2 linked regions of the Drosophila melanogaster genome follow. The protein of the gene in region 2 interacts with the protein of the main gene of each other region in a pairwise test. Each region holds a gene or a part of one and is shown on either strand. Other genes may lie near its edges.

Region 1 (14,496 bases), on a different chromosome or scaffold from region 2:
GAAAGCATAGTTTGTAAAAAACAAAACCCAATAATTAAACAAAAAATTTTAAATATGTTTTTATTTAAATATTGCGAACTTAATAAGAGTAAAGTAACATTAGGATTAACAAGGTGCGTGTGGGTCGTTCATGTAGATCTTCAGGGTCTGCGGTGTTCCAAACGAGATGTCCTTCTTATTCCCAACTCGATCGGTTCTTCCTCTTTCCATCACGTGAGTGGCGGAACTTGCGGCGTCGGTTCGACTTGTGGGTCTTCTTCTTGTAGTGGACAACGGTAGCCTTCTTCTTTGGTTTCTTGGTGGTGGGAGTCACGGTGGTGCTGCTTCCGGTTGCCGAAGGCGAAGTGGTGGACGTGTCTGTATCAGTGGTCGGAATAGTGACCGAAGGAATAGTGACCGATGGAATAGTGACCGATGAAACAGTGACCGATGAAACAGTGACCGTGGCGGGAGAAGTCAGTGCCCAGGCAGTCGAAACGAAAGCCGCGATGGCAAGGAAGATAGTTAGCTGGGATCGCATCTTGAACAATGTTTTAGACTGCTATGACTGATGTGCTTCTTTCTGGGCGAAGCTGGCGTATATATAGCCAAATCAAGAGGAAGATCTCATATATGTTTTCCCTAAGCAAACAGCAAACAGTCGTTTTAAATCGAATCGGAATGTGATGTTTTAGTAAATTTGGGTTGCTTAAACAGAGATCAATACCACATTTTCGCAATGTATAATTAGGCTATTTATACAGAGGCTCACTTAATTATACGCCATTCATTTATTTTTAAAATACTAATTTCTTAGAGAAACGGATGTAAGTTGGGTGGGTAGCCAAAGTATTGAAATAAAAGATTTTTTTTTGTGTCATAACTTCGTATTTATTTTCCGTATAACTACATAGTGAAATACTTTACGAACTGACTCTCAATGGAATGTAAATTTAAATCGGACTGGAGAGCCTTATACATAAGGTTTTGAATTGTTACGAACCGAACTTGGAACCAAGTGTACGAATTGTAAATAAAGACGGCAATTTAAATTGACACGAAAAAAAAAGATAATATAAAATAAAAATTGGTCTTACCACAACGTATAAACATTTTCTGTTGCACATAGTTTGTATTTTATTCAAATGTTTTGCTCTGATCTATTAATTGGTGTAAAATAACTTGAGTGGTTGGGACTAACTTTACAAATGAGTCTCAAATGCATTTTAAGTAATGTGAAGTTCGGGTATAAACTAATCAAATCGAGGTGTATAGATATAAAATCAAATCACGGCTTTGCTTGGCGTACACACATATTAAATAATATTAATATCAGTTAGACTCAGAGACGTTCTATGAGCTAAATACAATGCTTTAGTTAGGCGAGTAATTTAGTTAAGATTTTACCACTTTTTCTTGAGTTTCCTTTTGCGTGTTTAATATTTAAGTTTTGTGTTTTCCAACTTGTACAATTACGAAACATTATTTTGGTTTTGCAATTACAATTAATAATTGAATGGCAATCTCTGTTCCATCTTTAGGCCCCACCCATGTCGTCCACGGCGATGGCACACAGCACGTACATCATTCCGGCGCTGAGGAGCGCCGTAACCGGCACCGTTACGATCCATGCATAGGCAATATTCCGGAATAGATGCCAATCGACACTGCCATCATCCATGGGCGCAACTTCGTTATGGGTCTCCTTATCGGTCTGATCATTCGGCTGACTCTTCTTCTTGCGACCTGATGCACTCACATGACCCACAAAAACCACCGAACCGACCTTGCAGTGAGTAGTCGAAATGGGCAGGCCAATTTTGCTGGCCAGCAGTACGGTGATGGCAGCTCCGACTTCAATAGTAAAGCCACTGAAAAATAGTTGAAAGTGAATGTTCTATTTGTGAAAGGATAAGGGAAATTAGGAACTGAATACTCACGTCGATGAGGTTATTTTCGTAAGGTCATTGCCAATGGTCTCGATGACTCGTCGTCCCCACAGCCAGAGACCCACAGAGATGCCGATGCCGCCGTAGATCAGAATATAGATGGGACTCTCGGCCTGCTGCATAACCGATCCCTCGCGATAGATCATATAGAGGGCAATCAGTGGGCCGATGGCGTTGCTCACATCATTGCCGCCGTGCGCAAAACTGCCAAATGTGGCTGTCAGGATCTGCAGAAACGAGAAGAGCATTGAAATCTCCGGAGTCTCCTCGGCGCCACTGGTTCTTCGTCCACCGCCCGTCGTTCGTTTCAGCTCCTCCTCCTGCTCATTCAGCGCCTCCTTGCTCTCGATCAGAGGAACCTTGCTGGAATTGGGCGATAAAGTGGAACTGATCATAAGATCAAGGCTGCCGCCGCTCTCCACCACTTGAAGGTTGTTATTTGTGGCTTTGGTCGATCCGGTTTCCAAGTCCGTGCCAATGGAGTTCGTCTTGCTCTGTAAGTGGAAAGAATCGAAGATTAGGCAAAGCAATCGAATTAGCTAGCTAGCACTAAACAGGTAGTACCTTCTGCTCCTCCTTGGGCGACTGCATCCGCTTGAAGCACTCCTGCAACTTGCGTCCATTTTGCTGCTGCTGCTGTTGTTGCTGCTGCTCGTCGATAAAATTCAGACTGGTAATCGTCAGATCCGTGTTGTCCAGGCTAGCCTTGCCCAGCAGATCCTCAGCCTTTTTGATCAGCTGCGGATCGATCTTGTACTCCTCCCCAAGCGCATTGTTGTTCTTGGCCGCCAATCCGAATGGAGCCAACTTAAAGGTCCTCGGCGAGTTGTCGCTCAACGAGACCAGCTCGGTTATTTCTGCGATGGCAGGCAGTGGCTTTCCTTCGCTAACCAGCGACAGGGGACGACGCTGCTTCTTGGGACTTCCCGACGGGGAAGATTCTGGAAGAAGAATTCAAAATTTATATTGTTATTAGCCAAACATTTGTTGGAAGAACAAAGGCCCCATTATTTGGTTAAAGTTTAAGTCGCATATGGAATAAGGTTTCTAATTTTTTTTATGAAAAACCAATACAAATTAGCTACAACCTTTGTATAAATAACCTAGATCCAAAAAACTTCCACATGGTGAATTGCGACTTAGCACGCACAAATAAACTGTTAGCTTACGCAAACAAAGAAAACCTCTTCCACTAATTTCCCTATAAATACTTAGGCTTCAGCTAAACAAGAGCACATTAGATTCAACACCTAAAGAATCCATTAGAGATGCGTTCGCAGCCAACTATCTTCCTTGCCATCGCGGCTTTCGTTTCGACTGCCTGGGCACTGACGATTGATCCCGCCACGGTCACTGTTTCATCGGTCACTATTCCATCGGTCACTATTCCTTCGGTCACTATTCCGACCACTGATACAGACACGTCCACCACTTCGCCTTCGGCAACCGGAAGCAGCACCACCGTGACTCCCACCACCAAGAAACCAAAGAAGAAGTCTACCGTTGTCCACTACAAGAAGAAGACCCAAAAGTCGAACAGACGCCGCAAGTTCCGCCACTCACGCGATGGCAAGAGGAAGAACCGATCGAGTTGGGAATAAGAAGGACATCTCGAACACATTTTGAATACCGCAGACCCTGAAGATCTACATGAACGACCCACAAGAACAGTTTTAAGCCAATTGCTAATTTACTATTATTATATTGTTATTATATTACTTATTAAGAAATTAAATGCTTGTTTTATAAAAGGAGTTTCAAGATTTTGTCATTTAAAAGTAGAATTACTAAAATGCAAGCTAAGGTCCATTCATTCATTTTTTTAAATATCTGAACCCGTATACACGTATATATCCCGTTCATAATCTATAATTTGATCTTTTCATCTGATTTATAGCAGAGTTGTGTCTTAAACTGCTAAATATTAATATTTCCTGACGCTTGCCCATTTTAGTTTAGAAAAAGTCAAAAAATGTAGTTAACCGCAGAAACTAAAGTTTGTATCAAAAATGCAATGCAATAAGCATTAAGTCTCGACTGTCAGATACCCGTTAAAAGCAAAACTTTCAATCTTTGGAATGACTAGAATCTTCATCCTTAAATCAGTTGAAGTTCGACTAGTGATTCAGATCGAGAATATACTTCATAGGGTCGAAAACGATGCGATGTAATGTAGGCATTCTTTTGAGAATATCATAAAAAGTCATTTAATCTTGAGGGTAATACAGGAATAAGAATAATAGAAAATGAAAAGTTTGGGAACAAAAGCCAAGACATGTCTGGCCAAATCTGTTATGCCTGGGGTATTCGCAATGGGGTCTCTACTTTAGTTTCGTCGGGATCTCTTCTTGCGGTCGCTGCGCTTGCCTCCTCGCGAGTGGCGGATCGTGCGGCGTCTGCCCGGCTTGTGGACCTTACTTTTGTGGTGGACAACGGTCTTCTTCTTCCCACTTCCTTTCTTGGAGGTGGGAGCCACGGTGGTGGGTGCAGTGGTGGGTGCGGTGGTGCTGCTTCCGGTTGCCGAGGGCGAAGTGGAAGTGGTGGGGGAGGTGGAGGTCGTGGGAGACGTCGTGGCTGGATCAGTAGCCGGAGGTGTGGTGGGATCAGTAGCCGGAGGAGTAGTCGGATCAGTGGCCGGAGGAGTGGCAGGATCAGTCACTGCCCAGGCAGACGAAACAAAGGCCACGATGGCGAAGAGAATAATTATCTGCGATCGCATCTTGGATTATATGTAGTGCTCTGCTTGATGTGACTATTGTACGTAGTCTGGATGAAACCAGAGTATTTATAGTAAAATCGGTGGAAGATGTTTCAGACGCGTTTTGCTCAAGCAAACAATCTTCTACATTATTGTTTGATCACTTGCGATTGTTAATTCGAGGTTGTTCAAACAACAAATTAAGCATATTTTTGATGCGCAAAGATTGAAATAGATGTTTGTGTTTGTGAATATCGTGTTATTTTAACGAGAATATCCCACTTTTTACCTATATCTACATAAGAATCGACATTCGCTTTACGTATCACTAAATAACTCACCCACGGAGTCCTCGAAATTAAACTTGACAGGATTCTCGGCCCGCAATCGTTTGGCAATCTTGCGCCGCTGCAAAGGCACCACTACCAATTGCGTAAGCAATGCCACCAGCAAAGAGAGACCAAAACTGGCGGTCAGTGCTATCCAAGTGGGTATGTTGTCCATGTAGAGCAGCTTGGGCCCGTCCAACACAACGCTGATAACGTTGATGAAGAACGTTACACCGTAGAAGATGGGCAGCGATCGAAATCCGGCCTTGAGCGGCTCCTGGGCACGTAGGATGAAACGACGAATGGCCAGGAAGAGCAGAATGCTCACAATTCCACTCAGCACCGGTGAGATGAACCACGATCCGACGATTGTGCCCAAAGTAGACCACTTTAGGCCCTGTACACCGCGCGCCACTAGCGAAAATCCAATGGTAGAGCCAACGATACTGTGCGTTCCCGAAATAGGCAACTTCAAAAAGGTGGCCACCAGCAGCCAAACGGCGCTACTGGCCAATGCGGCCACGCAGCCCAGCATCAGAACCTCCTCGGCGCCCTCGTATAGGCCAACTTCTAGGATTCCCTTGCGCATGGTATCCGATACCTTGTAGCCTGCCGGAATATGAATATAATATCAATACAGTTGGCAAATTAAATTCTAATATTTTGCATTTATTTTCTTACCAATCAAAACGGCACCCGAAATTTCGCAAATGGTGGCCAGCACGCATGCCTGCCGGATGGTCAGAACACCGGAGCCGACACTGGTGCCAAATGAGTTGGCCACGTCGTTGGCACCGATGCCAAAGGCGAGTACGAAGGCGATTAGGAATCCGATGACTACCATCCAAAGTAATTCCGGCGCAAAGCTCTCCATTGTTGCCGACAATTTGGTTTTCGGTGTTCAATGTTAGTCAAAACTCTTCGGCTCAAGCCAATCTCTAAACTCTCTCAACTCTAACTAAATACTGATTTCACTTCTTGCTCCTCGAAAAACTAAACTCAAGTTGTATTTTATTGTATGGTGCGGATTTAACTGGGTGGATGATGACTTGAGTTGTGCAAAACAATCGTTTGAAACTTATAAAATACAAAGACTACGTAACAAATGAGGGTCGAAACAAAAATCCAAATTGATTAATAAGTGAGAAATTCTTTTCAAATATTCTCTAAACAGCCATATTTGCGCTTAAACTTCATTGTCGTTATTTTCATAATGAAAATGGGGCAACAATTCGCCGCTTGGAACTGCGAAGATGCGAGATACTTAGGTGACTAATTACCCTGCACTATAAACACTAAACCCTTCGGTTTGGAGCCTCTATCTTCAAATGATGATGCTGATGTTGTGATGATCAGCTCTATCATAAATTAGGCAATAAATAAATAAAATCCTACAAATAACCCTGGGCAGGACAAAAAAAAACACCGAAACGAAACGAAACGAACAATAATCCAAATTAAAATCCTTCTCGTGCGCTGACAAATTCCTCCTGCCAATGGAATTCGATGCTCAGTGTCGGGAAGTATTCACAGGTATTCCACACTCCAAACTAACTCCACTTGTAGACCAGTTTAACTTCTGGGATATCTTCACTAGCAATTGTTGTTTTTTCGTTCTAAGATTGAACGAATGCTGTTGATGTTGTGGAGTAAGTGGATAGTGTGTTGTTGTGTGTTGGTTTGTTAATAATTAATTATAATAAGTTTCTTGTTATGTTGAGTAGGAGTTAAGAGGTGTCGAGTTGGTAAACTGTAAAACAGATATGTATATTTCCAAAATTTTTTCCCAAAACAAATTAGATAGAAATTATTCTCACCTGACGTTTGGGGTAGCACAGTTGTTTCAACCATAGAGAATTATTCACCATGTCTGAAAATGGGCGAAAAATAGTTATTGCAACTCAAGCAGAACTCAGTATCACTTGTTTTTTAACTTAAGTAAACCACTAGCAAAAAACTGAACCTATCCGACTAAGCACACAAAACGATTTGAGTAAAATAACTGATTCAATACCAAAAATCAAAACGAAATCCAGTTTAATCTGCTGAAATTTGGTACCTAAAATCACTCTGATTTCCAGATACATTTTCAATACCTTTCGACTTTTAGATACTTTTTAACCAGTAAAATCCAGCACACAGCCATTCGGTGAGTTTTTCAAATGAAATCCAATTGTTTGTTTCTAATTTTCATTCATTTGTTTCTTTTCCAGATTCAACTAGACCCGCGTGGTTCGATCTTTTTCAAATGAAAATTCGCAATTGAAATTGTAATTGCCGCTGGCTGTTGTTATTGTTATTATTGTCCAGATTGTTGTCATCAAATGCAAATGCAGCAAACAATTCGCTTTCATTGTTTACAATAAAGATGACTGCGTAATTTACTGATGTAACTTAGTGTTTTAAATAAACTACAGTGGATGAAATCCTAAAGGATTTAAATTTCTTATATGGTTTTAATGTATATATTTTACTATTAGCAATTAAAGGAATCCTAACCCATTAAGTTTATCAACTTTGTTTTCGGTCGTAAAGTAACTATAAGTGCTTTTTATGAACCATGTGAATTGACATATGTACCAAACACATCGTAAACTTTTTAACTATGACCTTATGGGATCCTTAAGAAACTGTGGACTAAACACAAGAAAATAGCATATTCCTTTCCCACCGGCCAGCAATACCAAGACCCACATTTGACCAAGGCAAATAAACAAAGAAAACCTCAAGAAAACCCACCCACAAAAGCAAGTGGCAAGGCAAATGACGCCAAGAGGGCGGCGGTGGTTGGTGGGTGGTGCTGGGGCTAGAGGTCATAGGGTTGAGTTTAGTAACCAGGACAAAGGCTGACACCGCGACTTGGCAAGGTCGCACCACGCTTAATGCCGACGCTTCGTTGCGAAATTTCCATATTTGCGTGCTTTGTCATCGCTTTAGCCCCAACACCCAACACCCACCACCCAGCACCACCCACCGGGTGCACATTTCCATTCCCACACAATGGAAATGGGTAGGAAAAAATCATGAGTTTGTGGTAATCACCACTCCAATTTAGCGGCGTATTTTGAACTTTTGAGCTATAAATACGCAAACACGCAATTGTGCATAGTTTGCCAGCAAATGCAAATGCAAATAAATGTTTGTTGATTGTGAAATATGTATGTGCAATCGATTGAACAGATGAACAAATGGAAATTTATAGTGATGTTATTGCTTGCCGGTTAATACAAAATTGTACGATTACTTATGCACAAGACTAACTAAAAAATGGAATTTTAGTTGATACATTTAAATTATTTGAAAGCGCGCCTTTTCATATTTCAATCGAATGGCAGTAAATCAATTTAAGCCCATTGGATAATTACGGTTATTGCCTGGCAGGTGGGCAATAATTTTGTAATTGGAATGAACCGTTAGGGCCGAACAGATCGAAGTTCAGGGGGAAGGGGGTGGCTGGAAGGCGGGTGAATTCTACTGCCATTGCATGACATGGAAATGGAATTAAAATGGATTGAATGCCAATTGCAAAACAACAACAGATGGCACAGGTCTGAAGTGCACTCGAAACAAATACATAGTAAAAGTTATAAAGAAGCTCCTTTTAAACTATAAAGGTATAAAGTATAAAGTATAGAGTATATAGAGCATTAGAATTTTTAGCTTTACATTCAGATGGTGAAATTCGCACAGCGCACTTTTCAATTTTCTACAGTTATTCAAGTTACTTATGAATTTGAACGTTCAAATCGCTTGATTTTTTAACTTTGGAACACCTTATCCTTCAATATATTATTTCTTTCACTATTTTCCAGCAGAAACTTGTGCCAGTTCATCTATTTACACTGATTATGTGCACTTTCTTTGAGTTGCACGGATGCACCGGGCGCGTCACTGGCGACCTTGACATTGCCGCCTATCAACTGCAATTGCAACTGGCTCTGCAAACAGTAAACTGCTATTAATATTGATTTAATTTGCCGCAATGTTCCAAGGACGGATGAGGTGAAAAAACCGACGGACAGGGCGAATTATCGCGGCCCAAAGCGGGCATTTTCTGCACGCTCAGTGAGTTCCACTTGTTGTTTTCCTGAAGCCGCCAGCCAGTGAGTTTGGGGGTGGTTGCTGCCGCAAGTTCAAGGTCGCACCACCGTCACACAAATCCGGGCTAACTCGTTTCAAATTAACGCCACCCGCTCCAGTGAGTGTCAAACTGTGCAGATGAATCAGCCCGTTTTCCATTCAATGGGCTAAAACCAAATCCAATTGGAAACGCGCTCAGGTGTGAAAGGGGATGCCACTCTAGTAATTAACGAATAACTGCAATAACCCAAAAACACACGACGCTGGGTTGTGCATGTGTGAGAAATTAGAGCTCCAGGAAGTACAATAACTTTAAAAGCATAAGTTGCACTTAAGCTATTGCAATGTATGATAAAAAAAAACATGATTCTCGTCTTTTTCTACCCAATTGTTTAATTGAAAATATTTAATTTTTTAAACATACTTTAAGCAGACTTCTATTACAAACTTTCGCGCTCTCTTCACACACATTAAGTTCATATATCTTAAGTGTTTAGCTGTCGTTATTATAGAGCGACCACTGTACGTGTGCCAACGTTTCTAGCACGTGTGACTGTACAAGTTCTGGAAGTAAACAAATGTGAGTGCGAAGCTCGTTTGGCAAATTTTACCTATTGCTCTTATTCTTTCATTCTCTCTCCATTCGACGACCTTCTTGGCATTCATAAAAGAGTTTAAACTGTGAAGCTGTGTTGTTTTTATTGGGTTTTTTCCATCACACGCGATCCGAAAATGGAATCACGAGTTTGTCGGCTGATATTCAAAACGTGAGCACAAAAAAAATATGAATAGAACGCTTCATCGAATTTCACATATGAATGTATGAACATATACATATGTATATACATACATATATGTATGTACATATGTTTGTGCTGTGTGCCTATAGAAATTCCACTCCCATCCAATACATTTTTTTGGGCACTTGGCAACCGGCAAATATGGCTATTGAATATTTCTGGGAACTGCTTGAAATCGATTGAATTACTATTTTCAGTAGTAAAAAGTAGGTAAAGCTAGGAAAGCCACTTGAAAATACATAATATTGAAAGCTAAGCAGTTATTTTAAACTATTTATACATAGTTTAATTGGGTACTAACTACCTCATGATAAATAAATCAAAGGGGTAGGTGGTTTATCTAAGTTTCTTTATAATTCTGAAGATATTTATATAAGCAGGTGTTCTCACTTGCATGAATAGAATCTCGTTGAAAAGGGGACATTTCTTATAATTTCTGAACGGAAATCCAGAACTTTAGTTTGAGAGACACTTGACCAGGTGCCATCCGAGCGAAAGATGCATTGAATCGGAATGGGAATCGGTCCACTTTGCACTCACACTCACTCCGTGCGGCGCCGAGTGTGTACACGCTATGACCTTGCGGGGTTGCTGCCACCCACCGCCCACTTTGAACCCAAACCAACTCATTCATGACCCAGAGCAATCCAAAACGAAATCCACGCCGTGATATCACGTTGTGCTGAAAACAAAAAATGTATAATTTCTTTGCTTGACGTAAGCGCAAAGATCTGATGTTCGGAAATTACGAAAAACGAAATGTTTTTTTTTCTTCGAAATTCTGCAGCATGCGTATACACAGATTTTTGGGAATTTTGCTGCTTGTGTCGTTGGGCTATTTTAAAGTTTAAATGCTTATCGGAAAAGCTGCTCCATTTCGTTGGCTGTGCGCTTGTTAAATTTAGTTCCCAGACGCAAAAACTGTACGTACACAACAAGATGCCGGAGTTTTTCTTCTACCCTTAGTACTTTGCTCATCACAGTGCGACTTGGCTATAAACGATTGTATTCTAATTTGAATTTTCAAAAGAGCAGGCGATTTCATTTCACAATATTTCTTTAGCTTTGCAAAGCGTAAGCAAGTGTCATGATAACGAAAAGTGGATTTTCCCAGAAATATTTATAAATAATTTTGATAAGTTTACACAGAAAGTAAACTAAGTTTTTAGCGGAAGTGCAATATAAACAACATTTTGATTCTCGAAAAGAGGTTATCTTTAAAATCAAAAACAGAAATCGTTGTGAGTCCACTTATAAGTAAAAACTTTTGGAAACTGGAATATGTTGGGCCATAGAGCGCTTATTAAATGAATTTACAAAAATTTGCAAGGATGCAACTGACGCCTTAAGTTAGGCTTCATTATTTGAAGCCAGCTTGTGAGTCACTGGAATTTCATATTCTCTCGATTTTAATACGTTTTACATGACAAAGACAAAAGATGGGTAAATTTCACAATAGAGGGGGGTGGGGCTCTTTGTTGTGGGGAAGTTAGGGCGAGAGCGAAAGAAAGGCGAAGAAAGTGGGGAGCATGATGGCGAGGGGAGTGTCTGGAAGCTGCCAGAAGAGACAAGAGAGCGGGAGAGTGCGCATCCTCTCGCTCTTTTCACCTTCTGTTCGGTGTTTCTGTTGTTGTTCTTGTTTTTGGTGTGGCTGCAGCTGCGAAGCAACAATAACAACCACAACAGAGACTCGAAAACAGCTGCACACGAAAACGGTGGCTGTCAAACTGTTTTGCAAAATTTAAAATGTAACTGTACTTGGCAAAAACAATACATTTTGCTGTATTTCTGTATGTCGTAAAAGATCTTTCGACCTGGAAGCTGGAGAACACTTTTTCCAGCCACTTGGCCACCACCCCGCCTTTGAACAAACCAACCAATCGATTGGCCAGCTTATTGATTTTTCTATTCGAACATTTTGCATTTGTTGCTCGTTTCGGTCTTTTGCTTAGTGTGTTTGGTTCGAAAAAAGTATTGGCAATCATGTGGGCATCGACATACACACTTTTTTTTTATCACACCCACGCGAAAAACACGCGGCGCCAGCCAGACTAAAAGGATACAGGCAGCATATCCTGCACACACACACACACACGCGCGCACAAAAAAGCTCGCCAGGATCGAGTGGTGCAGTTGACCAGCAAACCGCAGCTGCTGACAGCCAATTTTGAGTAGCGGAAACAGTTGGAGCTGCTGCCCCGAAATGGGTACTCACTTGATCAGCAGCACTTTTTCGAATCAATATACCCGTCTATTCAATTTTTTTTTAAGCGGGACGAAGTCGCGCGCAACCACCGGCTTGCTGGGTTTGTTAGAGATGTGCCGATAACTCGCCACTGCGATAGCTCGAGTTGCTACTTTTTGTTGTACGCCACGCGCTTGGGATTTTAGCGAAATATGCGTGCCACAACTTAGCTTGTGCCGCAACCCCACACAGTGCTGCCACCTGTGGGCGAAAAAGTTACGTCTACATGGTGTTCTGGTCACACTGCCCCCGCCGTGACAAACAAAATAGAAAAAAAAATAAAACAAAAGATAAAATTTTAGCCTCCCCCCTTTGAGAAATAAAGGGTCATTTGAGGCAGTTTAAATCGAAAAGAATCCATAGGCACGGAGAGCCCAGCACACATAGAATGTTCCACTTCAGCGGCTTCAACATGATGTTCCCGGAGGGACGCAATTTTCATGCCAACTACAAGTGCTTCTCCGTATCCATGTTGCCAGGAAACGAGCGAACCGACGTGGAAAAGGGCGGAAAGAGTGAGTTACGAGTGTAGGCTGGACAGAAATTATGTGAACAACACATTCCATCCACAGTTATTATGCCTCCCTCGGCGCTGGACACGCTCACCCGCCTGAATGTCGAGTATCCAATGCTGTTCAAGCTGACCAACGTCAAGAAATCGCGATCCTCGCATGCCGGCGTACTCGAGTTTGTGGCCGACGAGGGCAAATGCTATCTACCCCACTGGATGATGGAAAACCTGCTGTTGGGTGAGGGCGACATACTCAACATCGAGAGTGTCTCGCTGCCGGTGGCCACCTTCTCAAAGTTTCAACCGCACAGCACCGACTTCCTGGACATCACCAATCCCAAGGCGGTGCTGGAGAATGCATTGCGCAACTTTGCCTGCCTCACCAGGGGCGATGTCATAGCCATTAAGTACAACAAGAAGGTCTACGAACTGTGTGTCCTGGAGACAAAGCCCGGCAATGCAGTCAGCATCATTGAGTGCGACATGAATGTGGAATTTGAGGCGCCAGTCGGCTACAAGGATCACTCCGAAACGCAGGCATCGGGCTCTGGGCAGCAGGGTGCTGCTGGAACTGTTGGCGGCGAAATCGCTGGAGCCACCAACGCCATACTCGAAGAGGTCGTGGAGACCTTCAAGGGTTCCGGCGTACGTCTCGATGGTAAGAAGAAGAAGGAAAGCCAGTTGGAAACGCCGGTCGTTAAGAAGGTGCTAGCCCGCGGCGTTCCAGACTATGATTTCCAGTTTGGACTCATCCGTTTCGATCGCAACATTCGGCCTATCAGTGATAGAAGCCAAGAAGATGATGCCGTAGCTGGCAATGCGGACGCTTCCGATGCGGAGAGCTTCCACGGCACCGGTTTCTCGATGAAGAAAACGCGCAAATAGCTCTGTATCTCTAGTTCTAGTTATATATTGTGTGACACATAGAAATTAAAGGAAAAACCTCACAGGGGCAGCGTCAACTTGATGGCCTCCTCCTTGGGCGGAGCCGGTGGCGATATGGTGGTCATGGGCGGCAATCGGCGTATCTTGCGTCCGTGTTTGCCTTCCTTGCGCTTCCACAGACCGGAACGTGGTCGATTGCCCATCTCCCGCATCCGCTGGGCACTGCCCACATGCTCCTTGTTGTGTTCCGGGTTGGACAGGCGACCAACCGTCGCCATGCAGGTGCGCTGGAAGGCGAACTCCCGCTTCGAGGGCAGCTGCACCACCACCTTTTCGTCGAACTTGCGCAGAATGGTGCCGAAGGTGCCGGCGGCATGGATCAGGTGGCACATCTGGCCGGGGTTCTTCTCCAGACAGTGAATGCGTGTGCCCACGGGCAAGGCGCCCAATGGATAGGCATCGCCTTCGTTGGGACGCACTATGGGATCATACAAAAAAAAAAAATTATATTGGCATAACTGGTTGTTTCAGAGCCAGTAAAATTTCTAGATTCCATGCTCAGTTTAAGACTATACTCAGAGGATTACTTAGAAAACGTTTAATACTCCCGATGAGTAACAGTAAGTAAATTTACCCGGAATCCTAGGAATAAAGCGCGAGGTCTTGAGGATATCGCCAGCCTTCATGTTCTCGGTGGCCAGGATGTACTTCAGCTCATCGCCGACGGCAACCAGGGCCACTTTGGCGGTGCGACAGCCATCGCGTAGCACCTCGAGTACCAGTTCCTCCTGGGCGCCCTCCGTGGGACCATCCCGCACCCATTTAACCCAGCGATACTGCTGTTTGATGCCTCCGCCAATGCCCTTGGCCACCAAGCGACCGGAGACGGGATCCCGACCAGCCAAATGGGTGATCTTCAGCGGCTCAACGGTGTACTTCTCCGGAAAGTGCACGGTTCGTCGGAATTGCTGTCCGGCACCAGGTTTTGGTTTCTCCACCACTTTGGTTTTGCCGCGCAAT
Region 2 (16,203 bases):
CTTTCAGTTTCGTGATTGAAGTAATATGGAGGTTTTGCCGTAAACTTATTTATGACAAAGTTTTCCGCTCTCCGACTGGGTTTTATTCGTAGCGTTTTGTTGTTTCGGGCTTCTTGTGAATATTACTTAGATTGTTGCATATTATTCGTTATTGTTATTTATGTTGTCTCACTATGCTCGATTATTCGGTTTATTATTTGTTATGGGCTAGAGAGGGATCAGGTGGTAATGCACAGAAATCACGATTCAGTTGATGTTTTCGGTAGTAGCACAAAATCACTTCAAGCTGCTCAATGTCTGCACTATAAAGACGTCATTAGGGCGAAACTACCGTTTGGTAATCTCAAAGGAAAAAGGTAACCGATTTGGGACAAGTTCATATGAATGTTAACAAATAAACAAATTGGATATTGAATATTTGATTGCAGACTCAAGCTCGAAGTGATTTTGCTCCCTTGTTCGTGGGCTTAAATCCTTGATTCTTGAAAACTTCACAATAGATCCTTTTTAATTAATATTAAATATTGAATCACAAGCGTCCTTTTAAAAAATGTTTTGCTCCTTTAAAATTACGTAAACGTTATCTAAGATCTCAAGAGTTTGAAGTTTTGGCACAAAAAGCACTTTATTTTTCTTAAATTTATCACATCAGATTGGTTGAAAATACAGTAAGAGCCAGAGCCAGACGAACAGAAGACGTCTTCACCCGTACGATATTCACATTTGAATGTTTCAATTGGCAAATGCGGCGTCCAACTTTAGTAGCTGAGCGGCCCGCAGACTCGAGCTCTGTTTAGCGAAAACGCTCGCAAAGCCAGCGCAAAGACAGAAAAAGCAAAACCACTCATCGCCGCCGAACCGGACGAACCTACCGCTTCACGAAGATCGCTTCCACATCTTCCTCAATTCCCAAAGAAGCCCGAAGAGTGGCCCCAATCCAAAAGCAGCTACAAAGTAAAACAAAAGCAGGGCGTCTTTGCGACCGGTCCAGCGATCAGCTGATCGCCGCGATCTCGAGAGGGGCGTTCAAAGACCGAAGAGAGGAGCACAAATCTTCGGGTGCCGATGAATTTAACAGGGCCAGATCGGCAGAAGAAAAGCTTAACATTTCTGTTAAGACCATGTAAATGTTGTGTTCGTAGCTTCTATCTTAGGAATTTAATCAGCGCATCATATGTGTGAAATGTGTCTATAACGTCTGCTTAATATTAAAGAGGGTTTTTTTTGGCGAATATCTGTTTTCAATTCTGGAGAAAAAAGAAATTAATACAATTATATATAGCTATTCAGTTTAGCATAAGTATTGGTATAAAATAGTCAAAAATTATTAGAAAATGTTTTGAGTACATTTTGGATTTAAGCTGTATGCACAAAAGTGCGGCAAAGTTGAGGTTATGCGATGTCATCATTTATACAGAACCTCCTTAGTGTTCCTGTAAACTAATTACACAATTTAAGTTAAGTATTATTATTAACTTTAACGATTTCCTTTCCATGTTGATATGTATGTGTATCTCTTTATACATATACATCATTGCGTATACGTAATATTTGCAAGCCCTCAACTCATATGACAGCTAACAGGATTAGCCTCCTTAAAATTGTATTCCATAAATTGCAAGCAATCGAATCGATTTCCGACAATCAGCAAGATGACAGTTTGGAAATCCATTAGCCTTTAATAAGGAAGGGGAAGCACTTGTAGGGCTTTTGGACTGGAAGCAGGGAAGTGGATCGGGAATGGGCCGGTGAATCGTCAGTGAAGAGTTGGTCGATGGCTCGATCGCTCGTGGAAGGCATAACAAACAAAATCGCAAATTAAAGATTCGAAATGCTCGCAGTGACGACTTTTTGACTTGGGGCGTTTCTTGGCTTGTTTCTCGGCTTCTATTTTCTGGCCAGCCGCCAGACAATGGAGCACAGGGGAGACAGCTGAAGAGTTGACAGTGGACAGTTTATATTATGATTTTGGGGCAGCGTCTTTGAAGCCCTCCAACTACCAACTCCTAGCCAGGAGTTGCATAATATCGTTGTTTGATTTTCGCTGAATTTATCTGCGTCTCTGTGGCTCGGATGCGACGGCTGCTTCCTTCTGCACACGAAGGCAGATGCAGATGCCGATTCATTGCGCCTGCGATTATGGATTCGGTGTAGCAAAAATGCTCAAATAATGGCAGCCGCAAATATTCCCACGAATCTCCCAGCCATGAGGCATCGCGCTGGCAACAGTAGCTATCCAGCATTGGATCACCGCCAATTGCTGGCGGTTCATGTAAAATTAACATTTGATTCTATTCAAAATCAGAAGTGATGGTCGTAATCACCATCCAGTGGCGCTTCTGCGGCTTAACGTGACTTTAATGGCGGGTTGATTCTGGCTCCTAACTGGTTAGTTTCTTTCATTAAAAGATATTGACAATGTTTTGTTGCTTGCCCCTTGCGAATGACATTGAGTCTGGGGCTCTTCTCATTAAAAATCGAGCTGCATGCAATCATAATAAATTGCCCAATAGATAACTAACAAACGATCTGACAGCTATAAAATCATAAGTTGACGCACGAAAAAAAACTTTGATTATCCATTTAATTGAAGGACGGGTTCTCAATTGAGTAGATTTAAGAATATTCCAATTAAAAAATATTTCAAATAAATCAAAAAATATTACCAGATGAAAAGGGATATAAAAACTTTAAATGGATGCATACTTCAAAATAATTGAAAACTTTATTGGCCATAGAAAGACGTATCTGTATAAGTCAAGGACTCAACCTTTTGCAGGAAAAATCAAATCATTGCCACAACTATTTAATTTTGTAAGTCAAATCTTAACACTCCCTTGGTGAAACTGTGCACATTGAGCAACAACCTTAAAAGGTCGTTTTTCCATTCTGTTGAAAAGTAATTCAGCAAATTCGGTCGGTATAAGTAGAGTCGAGAGCCCGGGTAAAGTGTCAAATCATTGTAGAAGTATCTAAGAAGCCATCTAGCCTATATTTAACCCCAAACTATCCATCACAGAAGCATGGATGGTGGGCCCTCGTGCAATTGCGGCGTTGCCTTTGCCTTTTGTGAATTGAAAAACCATTTAACTCCCGTTAATTTTAACGCCCGTTTTCTATGCCAACTCAGTTAGATTGCCACACAGTCGCCGAGCCGAAAACAAAAGCGAGAAGCAACCGAAATACGTAATGCAAGCGATAATTATTGCCTACAGGCCACCAAAAACCTCTCCGAACAACCAGCAAAAGACCTACCTCCCCCCACCCAAACGGAAAAAATAAAACACAGAAGCCTCTGTGGCCTAGTCGCGCAGCTGATTGAAAAGCGAAGAAGATTTGCATAGAAACGTGCGATTTTCGGCATGGCTAGGGGCCCCAATCGTCTCGGTCTCAGTCATGCTGGGCCACCAAGAGTATCTGCTGGATACTCTGGGTGATGCACTCGCACATGGCTCTGTCAACGTGCCCGCCAGCCTGAGAACAATACTAGCTGCCATCAATTACTCATCCATTCATGCCGTCATTCATTTGGCATTCGGCTTTTGGCCAAAGCCTCTGTTACCTCGCGCGAATGCAGTAGCCACATTTTGTTGATTTAATTGTTAACTTTTTTTTGGGAATAGCTGTCTGATTTTTTGGGCACGGCTTCTTTTATCTTTGTCCAATTTGCTCACATTTTTGGCCCTTTTCCATGGGAGGAGTCGCTGAAATTATGTTATATGTGACTGGTGAGGCTGCTTTTCATATTATTATTTTTTTTTTTTTTTTGTCTAAACCCACATTTGTTAAGATCAATGCTGAAGATAGCCCCATGATTAATCTTCGCAAGCTATGTTTTGTGTAGCCATGTTAAATGTTTTATGTGAAATACAATTTATTAAACATAAGCTTTTATGTTCAGAATCCTTGAAAGGTTCTCAGACTTTCCAAATTTTTTGTAGTACACGTATTTACCTTGAAATCAAGAAGATATGCAATATGATAATACTGTAGATGAATACGCATCTTAATCGGATATAAATTCACATTTATTTATTAAGCTATGAGAAATGCTCCACTTGCTCTTTATAAGATTTTATACATGATAGAATTTTTGGTGCACCTACAATTGGCTGATAGTCACTAGTCCATAAATGACATCAATTTATGTTTCTTTCAAAACATATATAGTATAAGTATAAGACGTAATTCGTTAAAGCCGCAGATAAATCACTCTTAATCAGACAATACAATAAGGTTAGTTAACTAACCTGTTGGAAAGAATAGAACTCCAATCTCGCCAGCATTGAGTGCATCATCCATACGGAATGTTAGCTAAACCAGATAGGCGGGTGAAAAGTAATGGTAATGCCCGAAATCTCAAGTCCCGAGCTTGTCTGTGCTCTGGTGGCCAATTTATCGCCACTGACAGCTGAACAAACGAAAGTGATATCTTAGCATTCGAACGTAGTGAACAATTGTGTGCTAATGACGAAAGACAAGCGGTTGGCCACCAGAGAAGCGAGCATAGGTACTTATTGCCTTGGTTGTGTCAAAGTGCCGGACTGCACAGCATATAATATGGTCACGGACTGCAGGCCGAGGACTGCAGATGCAAATGACACAGAAAAAATTTGATATTTTTTATTGAGCATTTTACAAACGGCACAACAAACCTCAGGGCATGACCTCCGACCGTGCAGAGCCCCAGCCACGAAACCCGACGACGACGGAGTCTTCCAAAAGGAATCACGATGGGCCCAATCGTTTTTGTGCATTAAATTGCAACCGAGATTTATGTAAGCCGCGTCCAAAGTTGCCCAGCTGGTAGCGCAGGAACCCCTCATTATCGATCGATATAGGCGCCCAGACGAGACAGTCGATGAGAGACTGACTGCCTCACTGAGTGGGGCCAGTGGAACCGCATATAATAACTTGATCATAGGAAAATCATTTATTGTGACACGATCGCCAATTGGAAGCCGATAAACTTTGTCTTGCAAGGAGATTCTCCCCCACTCGCCATTAGCTTGTTGTCATGCTGTTTGATTGCCCAGCTTGTTTGCCTTTTCCCTCCGCTGATTAATATCTCTGTGGGGCCTAATTGTGCCGAGATAAAATAAACACAGTTCCGCGAATTTCATGATTTTATTATTTGTTTGCTCGACTACTTCGGTATCATAATCTCTATGGGTAGAGCATTTCCTCATCCACTTTGCTGCCATTTGGGCTATGAAGTAAACATAAGATAAAAGCGAATTTCATGCGTTTGCGTTTTTTTTTTTGCCTCTATTAAGGGGTTTCACCACTCTAATGATCCAAAAAGTGACCGGAATCTATAAACTACTATAAAGATCTAAAAACCTATTGCCCAGTCATTCCAAACATGAGTCATATTTACATTGTCATAACACTCAAACTGAATTATTTGTTTTGGTTATTCATAGGTCAGCTAGTAAATTGTGCGGTTCTTTCTTAACATAGGAGTAAAGCTGTCAAATCGAGGGAGTCCATTCTTTATAATATGAAGAATATAATGCTTTCTAGTGTTAGGCAACGATAGAATATGAAAATCTGTAGCAGACGCAACCGCTGGCAGTTGCTTTCCACCATGATACGTGGGTAAGAATCCGGTGGTCTGTTTGATCAATCGCTGATACCTGATGATTTTTCCCAGTGTGCATTATGTCGTTGACTCATGGAATATCCCTAGGATGGTTCTCGCCCACTCTGCCCACTCTCATCTCCGACAACAGTCCAATTGGCCATCCAATTGACATCAGCGAGGTGAAGTGGTATGTCAGCAATGGAAATAGTGAATTTAGGTGTAAATTTAACTGGCACCATTGAGATTTCCAGGATCGGTGCTTCTTTCGGAATTGGGTGTCTTATTTGTAATATGGTAATTTGCGTTCCAGTCTCGTATTTCGGAATTAAGAAGTGCATGTACTTTGTGCCCCTACCAAATATCGTAAATATAACTTTGCCTTGGCTTAACGAGCTTCCAAAATAGCACTGCAATTCTTTACAGCTTAATTGGGTCTTGATCTACTTCGCAAGCAAATCACTGTATTTTTATGTGTGTCGCGTCCTTTTGGGAATTTCTGGTGGCACTTTGGTAGTTTGCTTTCCTGTATTTATCGCGGAAGTATCTGATAATAGGTAAGTCATTCCAAAGCCAAACTACTTGCCAAGTCGGATAATATTCAGACTAGTTTAACCACAATTTTCATCAAGCGTTCGTGGAACTCTGGGCTCTTTTTTTATGATGACACTCTGTAGTGGCATAACAGTGGGATTTGTGTTAGTATATTGCCTATCCTACCATGTGCTTCCGTGCGTCGTCATTTTCCTGCCCATTCTATATTTGTGCCTCATCATTCCCCTTCCTGAGCCACCACAGGACCTACTGAAACGGGGTCATGAAGAAAAGGCCGAAAAGTCCTTTTGCTTTTACAAGAACTTATCGAAGGACCCAGCGCAACAGGACGATAATAAAGCTGAATTTGACAAATTGCGGAATAAAGTTCTCGCCAGCGGCATAGCTGAAAAGATTACTCCTGCTGATTTCTGTAAGTTTCAAATTGATAATACATATAATGACCAATTTTTGGAAATTTTCGATTTGATACTATCTTGTATTCAATATGTATTTGAAATATAATACATTTATTTTAGTATTATCATTATCATCATTATTATAGAAACAAATGTTCACCTTACAATGACAAATTTGTATCTTCAATTCAATTCAGTTAACAAGGTCTCGGGAAAAGCATTTGGACTGATCGCCGTTTTACTGCTCTCCAATCAGATGTCGGGATCCTTTGCCATCTTCAACTATTCGTCGACCATCTTCGAACAGCTCGGTAGCAGGATGGAGCCCAATCTATGTGGCATATTTCTGGGTGTTGTGCAAATTTTTGGTTTGATTAGCGCCGTTTTGCTGGTGGACCGCGTGGGTCGTCGCCTCCTTTTGATCCCATCGCTGGCCGGAATGGGTTTGGCTGAGCTGGGAGTGGGTCTGCTAAAGTCCTTTGCTTCGCAGGACTTTTTACACAACAATGGTTGGATTGCACTTACCCTAATGGGCATTGTGTCCTTCACGGCGTCAGCGGGCATAGTGGCTCTTACCTTTGTCATTATAGTTGAGCTTCTGCCCTTTAAGGTAAGCTCGGCTTCGTTTATTTGTTAAAGGATTTCACTTAAAACTCATGGCCTTGCAGATTCGCGCCCCTGGCATCTCCATCAGTATGTGCGGACTCAGTTTATCCGTATTCATTGCCCTCATCACTTATCCCGTCCTGATCAACGATTATGGAGTGCATGTCACAATGTTTGTGTCGGCGAGTTTCTGTCTACTAGGTTTGGTAGTTCTGGGAATATTTTTGCCTGAGACCAGGGGCAAGAGCATTACCCAATGATGGGCTAATTTCTGATAAGTGTTAAGTAGAACCAGTACTTATAAAAATTCACGTAGTCTAGATAAGTTATAAACAGCCATAACAAATAAAAGAAAGTGTATGTCTAGATTTGGAATAAGATATTAATTAAGTTGAATTCATATTCCAAAACACCATGGAATCTCTTGGAGTTATTTCCTAATAAATGTCTTAGTTTTATAATCTTCCTTTAGAATAAAAAAAAGAGAAAATGTATAAAAATTCATAATAAATGTGTAAATGCAAATAAAATCCAAATACTGTTTACAATGACTTCGCCAATCTTAAGCAAATATTGTCACCTTACTCATACAAAGTTATGCAAATTTACATAGACTTATTGCTGCTATCCAACAGTTCAACGGTAAGATTAGCCTGACTGCCAAGTGTTTTTATTTTTTTTTTTAATTTACAGACTTCCCCAGACCTCTTTAAATGGGAGCGCTTTGCATTAATCAGCGGTACTACGCTGCGACTACTTAAAACTTATCTAATCTGCAACAATTTTACAGTCGTCATTATTGTTTACGATTGTCAGAAGATTGGAAAGTTGGCTTATCTGGCGTGATTTCCACTACATAAACTCTTGTCACTCAAAATAAAAATCCTCAGTTGGCACACGAGCCGCCAAGTGGTTGATTCGGAATCCAAAAGCGAAACATTTTCAGGAGTCCTAAATTAAATTAGGCAATATGACTTATGATCCATCGCAGAAGTTAAGTGTTTTTAGTGTGCGGTACCGATGGCAATTTATTGCCACCATGACTGGTGGGTGAAAATAGAAGGAAGGAGCCACAGTAGAGCATTTAATAAAAGTTGACTAATCCCAGTACATATTATGACACTGACCCATGGAATTGCCGTGGGATGGCTGTCTCCCTCTCTTCGACTGCTCGCATCCGACGAAAGCCCTTTGGGGGATCCCCTGACCATTACCCAGGCATCCTGGTAAGCTTGATACCCTTTCAGTGGAAATCCCTTTGGTTGATGTTTTTTGATGTTCTCAGGGTTGGATCACTTATCGGCCTAGGCTCGCTGACCGGCAATATAATCTTTGGACTGCTACTCGATCGATTGGGCCGTAAAGTGTGCATGTATTTCCTGGCCATACCCAATATGGTAGATAAAGTTCACATGTTCTTTAAGGGGTTTCCCAAGAGCTTGAGTCACTTCAAGGCTTTCTTTTAAATTCGCTAGATCTACTGGATCCTTATCTACTCCGCCCAAGACGTTACGTATCTGTATGCTGGTCGATTCCTGGCGGGAATGTCCGGAGGTGGCTGTTACGTCGTCTTGCCCATATTCATAGCTGAAATAGCCGACAATAGGTAAGTCGCGTCATTTTTCTAGTGACTGACAACATTTCGGATTAAGGGTAATCTATTAATTATAGATTATTTCAAGTTTTACGTGCAATGATAAGCTCAGACTACGTTCATATATTCAATTATATCGGCGCACGTTTGTCTACGTAATAACGATTAGATATAGGTCTGGGAATTATTGAATGATTGGAGTGAATTACTTGGAACTTAGCAAGTGGGGAAAGAAATCTATCTAAGCCATTTCTTTTTATATTAACATTTAACTTGAGTGTGGTTGCGAAAGGTCATTTGCAGATTTTAATAAATTTGTGCAGAAAAAATATATTAACTGAATGTTTATGTTCAATTTTAGTTTTATTCAATTTTTCAAATCATTTTGGCATCATTTTTGTCGATTGTCAATATTTAGTAGATATTTATCCATTCATTGGTTTCAGGTCGTAATAAGTAGTTTGAATGTAGGATGATTTAAGTCCAAAACATTTATTATTTTAATATAGACTTAAATACAATGCATACTAATTTAAGCGTTCGGGGAGCGTTATCGTCCATGGCCATGATGTACGTTAGCATCGGCATGATGGTTGGCTTTACATTAGCCTCGTATCTCCCGTACTATCTGATGCCGTGCATTATCGTTGCTCTGCCGGTGGTGTTTATGTTGTCAGTTATTGGCTTATCGGAGACACCGCAATATTTGTTGAGACGAGGGCGCGATGACCAGGCCGAGAAGTCTTTCTACTTCTACAAGAACCTGACACCACCCACTTCCTCCGACAAGGAAGCTTCTCAGCATGACGCAGCTAAAATTGAGTTTGACACATTTCGGCTTCAGGTGCTCAGTGGCGGCGTCACCGAGAGCATTTCTTGGCGGGATTTCAGTGAGTAAAATACAAGTTATTTTTACCTACGGTCTGATTAAATAATTGTCTCTACTCCTGCAGTTAACGTGCCTACACTAAAGATATTCGGCCTCATCTTTGTACTGATCATCTGCAATCAGCTGTCAGGGAGCTTCGCCATCTTCAACTACACATCGCACATTTTTGCTGAGCTAGGCAACAATCTGGATCCAAACACCAGCACCATTGTGGTCGGAGCTGCACAGCTGGTGGGAATCTTCAGTGCTGTCGTCCTAGTGGACAGACTGGGTCGTCGTGTTCTGCTCCTCACCTCAATGGGTGGAATGGGTTTGGGTGAGCTGGCAATTGCTCTGCTCAAGTGCTTCGCATCGGATGAGTTTCTGAACCAGAATGGATGGCTTCCTTTGGTGATCATGTGCCTTGTGGCCTGCATTGCTTCACTAGGAGTTATAGCCCTGATCTTCATCATCATTATTGAGCTGCTCCCAGCTAAGGTGAGTGATATGAAAATGAAAATAAAGTTAATTGGAAACAGGAATTCTCAAGCTGTAGCTTCATCAATCTATCTTCTTTTCCTTACCAATTGCAGATCCGCTCCATTGGCACCTCCTTGAGCATGGCCACATTTAGCGGATTTATCTTCGTGGCTCTAAAGATCTACCCCACAATGATCTACGATCAGGGCCTGGCTGCCACCATGTTCATGTCGGCGGGCATGTGCCTATTCGGATTCATTGTCTTGGGACTGTTTCTGCCAGAGACCAAAGGAAAGCTGATGACGCACTGATGACATCAACTTCGGGCCCAGCGGACACGCCACTTGGTTGCTTTTGTTGGCGGTGTGGCCCATTGCATAAGCTGCGGGATTCAAAATGCTCCCATGTCAAGAGTACTCACTCAATAATTTGTGGCACAATGGCGGCATCGGCTCATTCTGAAATCTTGAACTTAATTCAATTTGTGAGCATTGCGGTTTTCTTTCGGATTTCTGTACATAGAAATTTAATTTAACAATTTGATTGGGAGAAAGTCTCGGGTCTGTGATCTTGTGTTTGATAAGCGCGAAAATTGTAAATGAATAGGCTTAAGTCACCCATAGCTTTTACTTAAATAAATTTGTATTAGATTTAAAAACAATTAGTATTAGAATTTAAAAACAATTAATAGTTGTTTAAGGAAACTAGATTTGATGTATTTGCCTTTTCTTCGTTTCAGTGGTTTTGCCAAATCCATTCCTGCTATCATACAGTTTTGTTCGCCAACTAAGTGGGCTATATTACGCAGTGATAAGCCTGCGCGATGTAACAAGAAAACTCTTTTTCTTAGCCTCTTTCCTACGATAACTCCGCAGTGCAAAATTAATGAACTCGCAAAAGCCTAGAAGATAAAGCCAGCTGGGGCAAAAAGCCAGGCAGCCGAGAGATCCAAAGAGCCAAACAATGACTCATAAATTCAACACAATAAAAATTATTTATTTTGCTTCTACGACGGGCACTTTTCGACGGGCACTGCAAATGCAGTTTCAGTGCAAATTAAGCGCTGCAAAGTGAGCGAGGAGAAAAGAAAATTTGATCTCTATGACAGGACACACAAATCTCGCTCAGATCTCCAGAGACGATGCCAGCTCAAACAAAGCCCAGTTGGAAATGGAGTTGCTGCTGGAGCTGGAGATGGAGCTGAAGTCGAAAAACCTACAGAGCCACAAATCTAATGCTCACATTTTTAGTGGGGGGAGTTTCTTATTTCGGGAGTCCATCCACAACCGCATCCACTTACCCACCGACGTTGCATCAAAATGCAGTTTCATAATTTTCACACGTTTTTCTGTCACTCACTGGAAATGGGATCTAGTCGACCTGCTGACAGGCGGAAATTTGTAACAACTCCAACTTAGCTGCACTTATTGCAGTTGGGCTAAGTGCAAATGTGGCGGCAGACCGCAATTAGCCGCTGCTGATTAAGTTGATAATCAGTCGGGCTGATGGGTTGAGATGGGATGGGATGGGTCAGCCCTGGATGAGTTGTCGGAAGTCTGTGGTATGGTGGCATATACCTCAGTGTGTGGGCCACTGAACTGTTGCAATCACTCCCGCCGAATCGAAAGAGGCCGAAAAGTTGGACAAACAATCGCGACTAATGCCAGCAATTGCTCATTGTTGCGATTACGAGCATTTGATTTGTGGCAACACGGATGCCAATTGTTTGGCTTTGATCCGCTGCAATCGGCTGAAAGAAAGCCGGGTGGGCAATCCACATCCATTGTCTGCCCTGCATGACCATTAACACGCAATTTTCCATTTGACCGAAAAGTCAGCCAATCTTGTTGCTGTTCCACGGTAGCAACTCCAATTTCGGCCTCCATAACTCACAATTAGCGCCAAATGCCGGAGTTCCACTCACCTAGTGATCTCTATTGATAACCAAACCGAGATGACAACGTCGCAATTGCGGGTGAAATTATTTCTCGATTTATTTATTGTGTTTTTGCGAAAATATTGAATTCATTATTGTTTGGTCTTTGAGTTGATATTGTGCGTTTGGGGCAGTCGATTTGGTAATTGTGAAAAATGGGTTTAAATATTTATATGCTCTAATTTTGTGAATGGAGATTCGGGCTTACCGAATTCCGCATTTCTTTTGATCACGAAACTTATACAATCGCTGGTCTTCAATGATTAGGTTCTTTTTTTCAGGGAGTTTGCATAATAGCAGATTCGCAGCTCATTGCCCTATAAAAACTAAAATAGTTTGGACCAAAGTTGACTGAACTTTAGACAAAATAAAATACACAAACACCATTTGCATTTTAGACGTAGAAATACAACGAAAATACACATTGACATTCTTCCAAAAAACCTGACTTGTCGTGTGAAAACTTTATGGTAAATAAGGCGGCGGCTGTCAGCAGAAGTTATCTAAAAACACCTGAAAACACCTCACACTCATATATTAGCCATGATTAATTGAAAGGTCAGAGATGGTTAGGTCAAGTGAAGTGCGTGAAGCGGAGATAAATAATTTCATATTATATTATATATTCAGATACCAAGACATCAATTCTAAAAAGCTGCATTCAAATTACTTGTGACTTTTTGGAAGGTATTCCCAGTAAATCAAAGAGACCTTGTCAAGCAAAAGGAATCCACAAAGGATTAGGAATTAAATAGCAATTTATAAATGCTAGAAAAATTAATTAGGCACCACACAAATTAGGTACAAAAACATATTTAATTAGCGCTTCCTGTCAGTGGAGCATTTATTACCCGTCTGCCAATAAAATAATTAATAAGAGTACCTTTGCCCCGCCAACATCGACTTCAGCATCTTAAAAAGGTCATTAAATCATCCTCAACTGACGGTTGCCAAGACAAAGCCATCATTATTTCAGAAATGCTGGCCTGGCCTTTAAACATGAATTATAAATTTATGTTAGAACATTAATTTAATGCCTCCGCCACTTGGACGAAAATTTCGCCACATCTAAGATTTATGAAATCCAATGAGACCTGTTATAAAATTAGCCACGATCAGCAGCTAAAAGAATGGTCAAGTGTGAGGATAGGATGCGAGGGCAAAAACACCAAACACGACACCAAAAACACAAAGATGAGGAGACCTTTCTATTTTCTATAATGCTAATTTATGTTAGCCGGGACAGCTTTATTTCTATAATTATTATGTAAGATCGTGCAGCCACCATACACGTAGCAGAAGAAGAAAACCTATTAATTAGAAATGATCAAAAAAGACGAAACATGACGCAATTTTGCGGAATCGAAACTATTATATAACTTCTGACCCTGTAGTTTTAGGCTTTGGATATGGTTAATTCTTGTTGGCAAGGTAAAAGTGAAGTAGAATTAGAAGTATCAGGTGATGACTGATTGATTTTAAGAACGTATGTAAGTGGTGAAAGTACTAAACGAGGGTTAAAAGAAAGTGAGTTTTAGCTAGATTCTTTGTGCTAGGTGACTGGTAACTTCCAACTACTTTCAATATTAAGGCAAATAAACGAGTTGTAAGTATCTTTTCAAGGCAGAAGAAGGGTTCCAAGGCATCGTTACCTCGGACTGAAGCAATTATGTTGAGTGCTGCAATGGCGTTGTAAGTGTGCCTGCCGTCGACAGTGGCAAGTTGTTGTAAATTTGGTTATAAAACAAACACAAATGACATTATTCGCACGAAGACAGGACGGCAAGTTGGCCGAGCTGCCGTTGCAGCTGTTGCAGCACGACTTTCTTTGGATCTTCGCAGCAACTGCCACAACTGCAACTGCAACGGCAACAATCAATTCGACAGCAACGCCGACGACATTTGCGCAGGCGCAGGCGCCTTTGTTGCGCTTCAGCTCCAACTTCCGGAAATCACGCTGCTTGTTGTAATAATGTTTTAGCTTTTCTCGGCTCTCTGCCTTTTTACCTACGGTTTTGGCCAAGGAATGGGTCAGGTCGGATAGGTAAACGTAATGTGCACGCGAGCGAAATTACAAAATGCGCACAGTTAACGTAAAATTTGTTTGGCTAAAGTTGTTAAATTTTTTCAATTATGCAAAAATAAAATTTTAACACAATCTTGTGGTGGCGGTGGGTGAAATGAAGACATGAAGGCAAAGGCACGAAGCCAAAAGCCGAAACTAGTTGCTAGTTGCTACAACCCATCGAAATGGGTTATGAAACTGGGCAGGCATTCACCTCATCTAAAGGGCAAAACTTGGCAACGGTTGAAAGGTAACGGGGAAGTCCCAGATTACTGGCCACATCTAGAAAAGAACATTTATTGATATAGCTTACGGTCTAAAAGAAAGCCATGACGAAAGTAAGAATTCATACAATTCAAAACTCATAGCAACCATATCTAAGTGAAACATTGTAATACAACAAGCGAGTATTTTTACGCAAAGAATTAATAACTATGCCTTTGCATTTGATTTGGGAAAATTGTTCAGCCATCTGGTCAGCACTTAATGATTTAGTCAATAAAGATTCCCAGAATATGGCTACGATTGTGCAGATTATAATACCTCAAATAAAAGTGAGAATATAGCAAAATACGGTAGAAAAGCTAATACGAATTAAATTGATTGCCGACTACCGAATATACGCCAAATTGACACCTTGATTCTTCCTCAGACCTGGTCGCTCACCAAGTAGGTGGCTAATGTCAGACAATCGTTTGGCCCTTCCTCGGCACTTAATTCGTGGCGCAGAGCCGCGCGCTGCAATTTGAAAAAAAATTCTTTTGATGATACATGATACAAGCGAGCTAGAAGAGCAACCGAAATGGCCTTCCCAAGTGGCAATCAATTCTGGCCGAGCTGTGCGACTCCAGAGCCGGGTATTCACAGCCCGGGGGCATGGAACACTCTGCACGTGTTGACTCCCAGTTGAAGTCGATGATTTAGCTCGCCTCGTTACCTCAACGCCATTTGACCCCGCAGCAATTGTGGTAGCCACGATTCGTCGGCGGTCTACCAGACTGCCACTCGGTGGCAGTGATGACAAAGGTACCAAAGCTCTACCCAGGGTACTGCAAAAAAAAAATAGCAAAATTATAACTAAAATCCAAATTGAAGAAGGAAGCTCCATTTGATTAAAATCAGCAAGTCGCGCCAATTATCTTTCTTGTACGATTTTTGCAATAAGAGTCGAAACTATCACCTTATGGCCTAGATTATTATATATATTATTTTTCATTTTTTTTATATGAATTCGTATGTATGCAATTTTTATTATTGTAATATTATATCATTATTATATTATATATATATTATATATATAAATTATTGGCATGTTTCCTTGATCTTTTAGACTGAAGTACCAATATTTGTGGCAAGCTACTACGCATCACTGTTAGCAGTCGAGGGCCTATTCATTTCTTTGGTTATCAGAAAGGCAGCGATCGCAGCAATATGTTTTCTATATGCCTCATTTCTGCACAAATCGCTTGACCTTAAGCGTTGCTGTAATTTATTTGTCGTTGTCGCAATTTCCCACACACACACACACACACACACACACACACAAATCGACCCGATGATTTTCCCGCTCGGGTTTTGTTTCATTTTCTCTAGAAGCTGCAAACCGTATTACGTTGGCTCTAGCAGTTTAGCTTTGTATTTTGTAGCTTATTTTTCTCCTTTTGGGCCTGGGTTCAGTCGGTTAGTGAGGTTGCATTTGTAGGTTATTGTGCCTGCCCTGGCATCTGGAGGTTATGTAATGTCTCCGCCGCTGCCATTGTAATGTTCGCCGTAGCTTTTGGTTTTCCTCAGCTCCAGGGTGAGGTGGCCTTATCAGTTGCGGAGCGTCAAACAGTGGGGGCATTTACAATGTACAACTCTGATTGTATAACTGAGCATTTGCAGTTGGCTTTTAATTGATTTTGGCCAGCTGATTGAAAGCATTTTGCGGAAATCGAATCTATTTGCCATACTTGCCGACGAAGTTCTGCAATTTGACTTCCTGAAGTCAAACAAAATGCACGATAATACGACTATAATCCTCCCGTGTTGAGAAATTAGTAAGTAGTAAGTGCCCGTTTATGTAACGGTTACTACGTCTTCCCCTTTTTAGTGTCCATATAATCAAATTAAAGCCT

The links.
Region 1: the proteins of CG14606 (region 2) and Ufd1 interact in a two-hybrid assay, tested with the Drosophila melanogaster proteins (one large-scale study listed by BioGRID).

What each region holds. Positions count from the first base shown.
Region 1 is NT_037436.4:11,121,021-11,135,516, reverse strand, and holds Ufd1 (ubiquitin fusion-degradation 1-like), read left to right. Parts: upstream 1-12,300; 5' UTR 12,301-12,468; coding exon 12,469-12,595; intron 12,596-12,652; coding exon 12,653-13,476; 3' UTR 13,477-13,535; downstream 13,536-14,496. Other genes in the region: CG14143 (uncharacterized protein), read right to left, coding at 176-520; CG32074 (uncharacterized protein), read left to right, coding at 3,197-3,529; nol (no optic lobe), read right to left, coding at 4,255-4,647; NaPi-III (Na[+]-dependent inorganic phosphate cotransporter type III), read right to left, coding at 1,517-1,850, 1,920-2,422, 2,493-2,869, 4,968-5,564, 5,637-5,829; mRpL2 (mitochondrial ribosomal protein L2), read right to left, coding at 13,536-13,954, 14,111-14,496.
Region 2 is NT_033777.3:7,208,929-7,225,131, reverse strand, and holds CG14606 (uncharacterized protein), read left to right. Parts: upstream 1-8,048; 5' UTR 8,049-8,113; coding exon 8,114-8,189; exon of another isoform or gene 8,190-8,251; coding exon 8,252-8,369; intron 8,370-8,428; coding exon 8,429-8,540; intron 8,541-8,618; coding exon 8,619-8,749; intron 8,750-9,274; coding exon 9,275-9,627; intron 9,628-9,690; coding exon 9,691-10,103; intron 10,104-10,198; coding exon 10,199-10,396; 3' UTR 10,397-10,793; downstream 10,794-16,203. Other genes in the region: CG14605 (uncharacterized protein), read left to right, coding at 5,665-5,774, 5,839-5,950, 6,011-6,141, 6,217-6,551, 6,735-7,147, 7,206-7,403.